Linked DNA regions of Neodiprion lecontei. The protein of the gene in region 2 purifies or fractionates together with the protein of the main gene of each other region. This does not show direct contact. Links are inferred from orthologs where the notes say so. Each region holds a gene or a part of one and is shown on either strand. Other genes may lie near its edges. The genes, in order: eukaryotic translation initiation factor 4 gamma 1 and polyadenylate-binding protein 1.

Region 1 (5,129 bases), on a different chromosome or scaffold from region 2:
TACGTTTGAACGTGTCTCTTTTTGTATTCATTTCTTATTATTATTATTATCTAATTCTTATTCCTCAAGATTCTGGTAAATAAGTCGGCAGTCAGTTTCCTATCGGAATAATAACATCTTGTTATTGTTTTTGGCTTATAGCAAATCTAGTGAATCTCGACGTTATGTCAATTCTTGTGATTATGCATGACATTGCCTTCGGTGATGAGTAGAAGTCGAAATTTTAAGACATGAAAAGAAACATGACAAGGTTCTTAGTCGCTATGTTACACCATGCCTTTGGATGTTTTGCAATTTAAAAAACAAAAAAAAAGTAAGTAAATAAACAAAACAAAAAAAAAGACTCAGCTGATGACGAGAGTTCGTTCATCGTGCGATCTTGAGACAATCGGGCATCTGTTCGAAGGCTTGAGTGCAAATTCTTGACGACCTAGTTGAATTATACGCAACGATTGTTCGATTCAAAAGGATGCTGATAATTTTACACATTGGCATTATACAGACATCTTTTTTAGAATTCATTACGTTCTACTGCAAGGAATGGTGAAAATTATCCTTGTTATTATTCTGGTGTTATACTACACTATGATGGTGAAATATGCATACAGCATTGTAGCATAATTCTCTGAAGAGACTAATTAAGTGGCGTTTTGTTCGGCGGCACCGGAACGAGTAACAATATAAATGTATTTAGGTCACAATCTCCTTGTTAAACCTAAATTACGTTAAGCTAAATATATAACATGCGATGATACGGCAGATATTGAACGATTCTAAAAATAAAATTACGTATTTGGTGGCTCCGTACCAGAATAAATTCTATTTCGCTAGTTTCGCTTCTCCCTCGACCTCCTGTAGTATGGATATTATGTTTTATCTGCTCTAATCTCAAACAGCAAACGCTACGTGAAAACTTAGAACCCATCGGCTTTGGGAGTGTTGGTCAACAGGTCGGATGCCAACCGATACTGAAAAATGAGACTGCTTAGAAGTTTTTTTTTTTTTTTGGTAAAATTTTAAACAGCCTTTCTTATCGTCTGAAACAATAATAATCTATACCATTACGTGTACCGGAATTGAATATATAATATTTAGCTGGCACAATATACCTGTAATAATCGTTAATTATTTCTGGAATCAAATAATCCCCGCGGTAAAAGCCTTGACGTAGAATGAAAAGAATTTCATTATAGCTGTAATAGTTGACAGCGCGTCATGCGACTCGGGAATGAAAAAAGAAGGTGACGAAAAAGATCCCTCGCGGCATTGGGTAAAACAGGAATCTGCAATTGAACTTTTAATTTCAAATCTCTGTTCTACCGTCGTTCGGTTTATTTTGTAAAAATCGCTCACGCGTGATTCTAAAGAGCATAAAAAATATTTCCTCAACAAAAACCAATTTGACAGGGTAACGTTAACCGTTGAAAATAGCTTGGAAGTTTTTTGAAAATCGAACGTGTACGTTATCATCGACCATACGGTGGCAGTCGGCGGCGTGAGCTTAGACAAACTTGGTTAGCGTGCACAGAGTATAGAGTTGCAGGTATGTACACGCATGCATACAACACAATGTACGACGCGTGCACGGCGTCGGCGTGGCTCGTTGACGATAGTGAGAGATAGAGAGAGAGAGAGAGAGAGAGAGATAGAGAGTGGGGGTAGAAACACTTGACAAATGTTTCTCGGCGACGAATCGTAACGCGAGATTAAACCGAGCGTTTACGAAGTTTGACGAAAATTTCCGAAGTTTGGCGAATCGCTGCAGTGCGTGACCGTTGAGAGAGAGAGGTTCGTTTTGGTGACGCATGCGCCTTACGCGAACTCTTGCCATCTCCCTCTCCTTCTCACTCTCCGAACTTGTCTCGCACACATGAACATCGGCTAAGGTTTCACGAACGTGGGTCGAAACGGCCGACGCGGCATGCGCCTGGGTTCCCGGATCGTCGTTGTGTCAGCCTAGAAATACAACGTGGTGATTCGACGACGCGAATTCTTAGTGTGGGTGAAACTAGCGGCGGTGTAGAGGGGGTCGGGGTCTGCCCTGCATCAGTCTCTACTGCGTCCCTTCGAAAGGGGACGCTCCTCCTCGTCTTTGACAAGCGCGCGGTTAAAATACCCAATGGGGGGTTGACAGTTATCAAGGAAACTGATAGTAATATAATAAATAAATAAATTATAACTAACACGGACACACGAGTACGGATTTTTTCTAAACGACCATTTTAATCAACATATAATTCGTACGATATTGGTTACAATTTTTTAAAAAGTATACTTCGAAACCGCGATCCGAGACAGAATAATACCAAGATATATGTTTACACGTGTATGTATTGCTCTTCGTCGCAAGATCGTCCATCGGTTTTCCTAGGACACGAAACTATAGAAAAGACCGTTTGTTCCGTTGTATATTTTCAACTTTTTTTTAACGTAATTATTTTATTTGGACAATTGATTGTATTAAGTAATATTGTGCCATAATTCGCGTGTGTGTTGTCACTGTGGATTGATGAAAGTTCTCTTTTTTCATTCCCCCGCCACTTGACCGTTTCGTTTTTCCTTTTTTTTACGGTAATGTAAAAATTGAATCAGAACAAAAACTGTAGAAGATCTGAGACATCGAAACGAAAACTTTGAGGAAGAAAACGTCGAGGGTCGATTGATTCAGTGTGCTGTTTTTTTTTCATTGATGTTGTTGTTTATTTGACAATAAGTGACGTTTGGAAACGTTGGGTCTTTTTGTTGTCTCTTTTTTGTTTTAGCTCAAATTACGGTTAGTTTTCCTTTCTTCTTTCTTCTCGTTACACACAGCGCGAACGACGAGAAGCCGTACGTTGATTATTATTTACCAAGATTTTAAAACCAATTTGGAAAATATTATATGTAAACGAACACTGTATCTAGTTTATTAGTTTTATTTAACTACTGTTCGTGAAACGGGATACGACAACGACTACGAGGACGTGAAAATAAAAATTTTGTTGTATCGAGTGTTCTGCGGACGCCACAAAGCAGCGGCTCTAGTCCTAAATATCGATCTGCTGGCGTGTGCGACCTACTCTATAGTACGTTCGCCTCGAAACATATTGTGGAATGACAGTTGACAACAGTCCAGCTGTCGCTATCATCGTACAATTGACATCTGTCAATAATCATTTGTTGACTTTTACGTTGAGGTTGACGACGAGGACGACAACGACAACGACAACAACAACAACAACGCCAACGCCAACGAGTCGAATAACCGATTCTCACCGTCGAATTCAACGACAACGAGCGAGAACGTGCATTTTTTGCTCCGCCGATAATCGAGGATACCTGTAAAATTACCAACGCTTTCGCCGTAACGTTGTTAACGGTGGAATTTTTTTGAAGACATTCCGTTTGTTTTCCATTTAGTTCTTTTTTTTGTTTTTACAAGAAGAACGTACGTCGAGAGTAAAAAAAAAAGGTCAAAAAAAAGGAAGTACAATACGAATAGAAAAAATGTGGGCGATAGTAAAAATCGGCAGGACTTTGCTCAGAGTTTCTTCGCGTTCGATAAAATCAAGTCAAAGCTTTATCGGAACTTAAAGAAGGAAAAGATTGAAGAAACAACGCAACGCAAGTCAACTATTATTGTGCTATTGTAGTACTACCGGCGAAGAAGACAAATGAATGAAAAATTCCAATAAAGTGTAACTCTAAATTTGAGGATAAAAAGAAGAAATCGAAAAATATAAATACGGAGGCGCAAGAATAATGATTCCCCGTCAAAACTTGGTGATAAAAAAAAATTAATTTGAAGAATATTACAACGATGAGAAAATCCACCTGAGAGGAAAACAATAAGGAAGACAATTCATTATAGAAATTGATCGTTTTTTATACACGTACCGTAACACGCTCCTATTAAGAATCAGTAAGAAGTAAGGAAGAAGCTCGTAAGCTTTTGAGACAATAAAGGTGTTTCTAGACGGCTAATATCTACCGTTAATTACCAACGTCATGGTTTCGCGATACGGTGTTACGAAGGAGGGTGCAGTCGGTGTTACGGTCGGCGTCGGGACGATGCACTGTTTGCTACCCCATTGCGGTGGGCCCCACCACATGTCACCACACGGGCATAACCCGAGCCACAATCACATTCACCACCATAACCATCACAATCATCACAACCACCACCCGCCGGCATCGCCGAGTCCTCACGGTCATCTAAGTCAGATGAATCACGCCCAACATCAGTTGACAATTAATATTAACCACAATCATCAGCTGCAGTCCCAGCAGACTCAGCATCAGCAGCAACAACAACAACAACAACAACAACAACAACAACAACAACAACAACAACAACAACAACAACCTCAGTACAGGATCATCACGGCCAGTGCCAGTAAGTCCTTATTATCAGTTACTGTCAACTCACCGAATACGTTGCCAGTTTTTAATTTTACCAAAGGTGTTGATAGGTGTTGATCACACAAATGTACAGTTATACGGACCTACACGAGATGATATATATATATATATAAAATGCATAATAGAGTGTGTGTGTGTGTATATATATATATATATATATACTCTATTATGCATTTTATCAGGCTTACTAAACTCGTACGTCAAGGTGGCAGTCACGTGGACCTCATGCAGTATTAATAGAATATTCATTTATTCATGATGTACATCTATTATCGGACTTTTTGATAAACGGTCGGTTCGAGGGTGGGGATAAATGAGATCGTGGATAGTGTATAATAACGTGTAGACGTTCGCCTAGGTACGTCTTTATTTCATCGCGACGACAACGACTATTGCGATGACACGCGTTTATCAAACACCTTAGCAACGACTGACTGACATACGTCGTCTTGCATACCATACTTTTACTCCTTGTTCCTTAGGCGCTAGCCTTGCTTGTGCCCACAAGGTGAGAAGAAAACCCTAGGTGTGATGTAACTAGCTGACCAACTAATTAACTAGCCAACCAATCACCTTACTAAATAGTAAACCCCTCTCCGCACTATGAAAGAGACATTGAGACAATAGCGAGACGTGACACGTTGCCTACCGCTGCCAGTGTTCCTCGTGTCATGCTGCATTTACTTACCTAACTTGGCACCATTCTCACAACAATTCCTCCGTCGTCA
Region 2 (4,875 bases):
GTTTTACCAAAGAGTGTTGAAATCATGAAAATTGATTGTATGTCACCATTGGAGAGTAATTTAAATAAACTGTAATCAGGGTAATTTTGATCAGTCAAGAAGGAGTGAAGAGATACTTCAAAAGAAATCACCCGTTATATTCCAGATGTTTGAAATAGGCTTGTAGAAAAACAAGGAAAACTTTCCAAGTTAAAAAATTAGTGCTGATACCATTGGAAATAAGAAATTAATCATCTATCAGACGTTCAAATGGCTAGGCATTAGTGCTTAATGAATAAGAAAAATAATAATAATAATAATACAAGATCCAAGGCGAAATGCGGAAAAGAAATAAAGGAAAAAACCTACGCATCTGTTCACACAGTGTGCGCAACTTATACATATGGAGCATTCCACATACAATTAGCCTGTACCTCAACCCCTTTGATTTTAATCATTTTCGAGTATGATATTCTTACCGACTCGAAAGGGTCTCCGAATTTTGTTCTCATTTTTGTAGCATAATTTTTTTTTCATAATATTGTAAAAAAAAAAATAAAATAATTAAAAAACCAATTCTAAGATCACCATTTTCAAAAATCTGAATAAATTCATAGATTCTATGATTGGAAATGTGATTTTTAAGTACCACACGAAAATCAATATATACTATTTTTGTCGAAAGGTCCTACAACTGATGACTGGGGTCTGAACACACCTCCAGGCGAACTTTGAACTGCGCTCAGCGCCACTATCGCTACATGGTTATCAGTTTTTGAATATATATATATATATATTAGACTGTATAAAAAAAATCGACTATTTTTTTTTTGAAATTGAAGCTGAAAATAGATGCTGTTTAAGTATCGGCTCTTAATATTAATATTCGGAGGAGCCTCATTGCAATTTTCCATTTCCCATTTAAATAACATTGGAATTTTTTTTTTAAACTTCAAAATTTTATGACTCATCAACGCATTAGTGTATTGATAAGACCAAAACGTATGTTTGGAAGGAATTGCATGCTTCACAAACAAAGGTCTGTTATCATTTTATGATAAATTTACTCTGACAAAAGTTATTTAATGTCAAAGGTCAATAAAGGACCTTATATATACTTACATTAACATATGCACACACAAACACATATACATGCATGTGTGTGTGTGTAACAATTTCGACATGGAAAAACTAAAAACTTGCGCAAAAAATAGTAAATATTGAGATCCCACTATCGTGTGATGCTTAAAAATCACATTTCAAATCATGGAATTTCTGTGAATTGTTTCAGATTTATAAAAATGGCTTTTTTGGAATTTATTTTGCAATTTTTCGTAAATATCACCAGTGGCTGTAGAAAATCAAAAAATTCCCGAAACTCTTTTGGATTGGTAAGAACATCACATAATAACTAAAAATGATTAAAATCGAAGGAAGTGAGATACGTTGGCTGCTAATTTAACGTGGAATGCCCCATATACATGTAACGTCTGTGGCATACACGAGTGGGTCACGTGACATATCCACCGGCGACCGTTCGAATTATTGTTATTCATTCCGCGACACGCATCAGGCATTTCTCTTCTTTCTTTCTCTCGGATTATTCTCCTCGTCGATATCAAGCCGTGTAGTCGCCAGCATGCGAAGTGATTGCTGAATTAAGCAGCACGCATAATTATATAAGGCACAAGCGGGATCCAGGGGCCATAGTACATCGCCATTCATTTCCTGCATTCTTGTTATGGCTTACGGAATTCAATCTGTATAAAACTCTACACTTCATGAACGAGAGTTCGCGATCGGATCTATTAATTTACCCGCAAAGTGTGGATAATTTTTTTCAATACTTAAATTGGAACCTCAGATAGAAAACTGCAATGCTAATTCCGCATTCTGCTTATGGCTTGTGGGATTCAGTCTGTAAAATTTTCATTCCGTCAGCACAGGTTTCGCAGTCCGGTATGCTCACGAAGTGTGAATTTTCGTGCATAATGAGACACTAGTGGCATAATTTCAGTTCTCTTGGACCGGTAAACGGTTGATAAACGTCATATTGACGAATCAGAAATGAGGACAGACCAGAAAAAATGGCGCAACGGCTGCTGCATCCTGCTCATGACTTATGGAATTCTATGTGCAGAGGCCGTAAGGAGGGAGAGTATAGGAGGTTAACAGGGAGGGAGGAATCGACGCCATTGTGGGAGACAGAATAAAATCCAATATGGCGGACGAAAACGACAGAATGCACGTGTCACGGCTTGGAAACGGGATGAGGACGCGAAATTTTCAGGAAATCTGGGACGGACGGATAGCCTCGTAGGTTCTACAAAACTACGAACAACAATCTAGCGTCAATTACCGAAATACTGACCGTCGGCTGGCTGCTGGAAGTTAACGTATGCGTAGCCAAGGGAGCGGCGAGTGATCATATCTCTGCACACGCGTATCGACAGCACTGGGCCTGCCGATGAAAATTTTTCAAACAGCATTGCTTCGGTTATATCCGAGTGCAGATCACCGACGTACAGCGATGCCATCGGATAATTAGGCGCTCCTGGATTCATTTCTGTTCACTTTCTTACTTATCACGATCGTACGATACTTCTCGCCTTCAATATGGCTTGTTATTTGCCCGTGTGATTTTTCCCCATGCAAATTCTCTCCAGACGTTTCTTTTCTTCCTTCTATCAGCAGCTGGTATCAATGATTTTTTCACCTTCTTCTATATGCTGTATCAAAACCAACAAGGATATTTATTAGGTGTCTTATTTTATTACCGACTTTTCTTGGCCTTGGTTAATCTTCTTGATTTTAATAAATTTAATTTCCTTCCTTTTGCGAATTTTGTATATTTTTAGATATTTTTAGATTTTCTTTTTCTTATAATAAAACGCAAATAATTGTCACACACACGTTGTCTTGTTTTATTTCCGTTTCCTTCTTCTTCTTGTTAACACCTTTATTGGCTTCTTCTTTTTTTTATTATTTTCAAATCTCTATTTTTCCCTTCTTCACACAACTTGATATATCAAGGTGTTTATATCTTTTTTTAATATCTTCACAAGTTTCGCGATTTTCACACTACGGTTTTACGATTTTTTTGTTTTTTATTTTTAAAGATTTTTTATAGATTTTTTTGGGGTGGGGGATGAGGATGAGGGTTTTTTTAGTAGTGGATTTTTTGTTTTTTTTGTATTTTATGTTTTTTTAATATAGAAGAGTTAATTCACGAATGGAGGTGGGTTGTGTGACCTATTTTTTTTAGGAAAAAGGAGACACAACCACACGTGAAAACAACTCTACTCTTAATGACGAAGAGGCAGTCAGGCCGTCCGCGTCACAGTTATATACGAAACCGTAGAACGCCATTTCCTACGCCGACAAGTAGTTCCCCGATACGCACAAACCTGGAATAGTACGGTATTCAACGGTAAAAATTTATCTCGATACAATTGTTAATGCAATTGGATTTGTTTTATCAGTTTTCCATCAACTCTACAAGCATCAATAAATATTTAATCCCATTTCAATCGACTCGCGTCGTATCCAAAATTCGTCGCTATTGGCCACGCGACTGTTACGCGCTTGTTTTCAGGTACTATTTTCATTTTCACCGGACGCTGTATGCTTGCGGCGCGGAGATAATTACAGTTTCCTACGCCTACCGACTTGATAAATGAATTCGGAATCATGGTGAAAATTCAGTCAATAAATGAAAAACATTGTAATTTCCATCGTATCTGCTATATCAGCGAAAATTCGCCACATTAAATAGGCTGTTGAAGAAATTGTCCGATAAGTTGTAGCCACCCTCAGTAATCTTCAGGCAGCTCACAGCTGTCGCGTCTAGTTAGGCATCGGAATTCACAGCAGTCATGAACTACGCAGTGACGCAAGAATGTCTGTTAAAGGTGTTCCACAACACCACGGCGAGAAAAAGAAATACCAAAATGGCAAAAAAAAGCAAACGGAATCTAAGGCCCGTATTCATAGTCAGGTCTCAAGGCGGTGCTTAAGACCGTCTTGGTGAAGATCGTCTTATTCGTTCAAGACCGTCTTGAGATGCTATGTATTCATAGTCGGAAAACAAGACGGTCTTCGTCAAGAATTTGGTCTCAAGCGCTAGCTTATTTCATTCAAGACCGTCTTGACGAAGACTGAGCTTGAGACGGTCTTATTCGACGTTCGGTTATGTTCGGAATATTTCCGATGTATCCCCCAATAAGATGCTCGGATTTTATTTCTCAGCCTGTGCAAGATATTCGTATAGGCATGCAGCTCTTGAGTATTTTTATAGTTTATGAACACAACAACGTTAGCGCCACGTAGAGGAACTAAAAAACGGGAACAAATCGCGTACAATTTTTTGTAGTGGGTGTATAGCTATAAAACGAAGAAGAAGAAAAAGAATTTTATAGTGTATGTTTATGTGTATATAATTTTTATATACACATATTTTAACCTATATCATTATGTAAATCTCTATACCGGTTATTGATAAATAAATTGTATTGATATGTTAAAAGGAATCCCGGTGCAGACTTGCAAAAAAATGCGCGTGAAAGGGACAACCTTTGATCTTCAAAGTTCAAAAGAGCAACTTTAGTTCTATTTACTGGCTGTATTTATAATGTATTGAATATTTTTACGTAGACAAATTTTCATAAGTATTATCGTAACTATAAGACTGACGCTTAGTACAATTACGTACATATCAGTATTTTCATGAGTAAGTGAGGGGTTTAAAAATAAAATGAGAACCAATGATAAGTTATGAGTAAAATATGTATTCTAATGTTAACTGTTTGTACAGATTAAATTCAATTTTATTAAATATTTGGAGTATATTCATTCTAAAATCAATTAGTCTTTACAATTAAATTAACTTGATATACA

Evidence for each region.
Region 1: the proteins of polyadenylate-binding protein 1 (region 2) and eukaryotic translation initiation factor 4 gamma 1 purify together in Drosophila melanogaster (affinity purification with western blotting; 3 studies listed by BioGRID, with this or other methods). This does not show direct contact. The link is inferred for Neodiprion lecontei from reciprocal best matches to the Drosophila melanogaster genes pAbp and eIF4G1.

The regions. Positions count from the first base shown.
Region 1 is NC_060263.1:38,444,355-38,449,483, reverse strand, and holds the start of eukaryotic translation initiation factor 4 gamma 1, read left to right. Parts: upstream 1-2,034; 5' UTR 2,035-3,987; coding exon 3,988-4,375; intron 4,376-5,129.
Region 2 is NC_060264.1:21,286,820-21,291,694, reverse strand, and holds the start of polyadenylate-binding protein 1, read right to left. Parts: upstream 3,295-4,875; 5' UTR 2,544-3,294; coding exon 2,339-2,543; intron 1-2,338.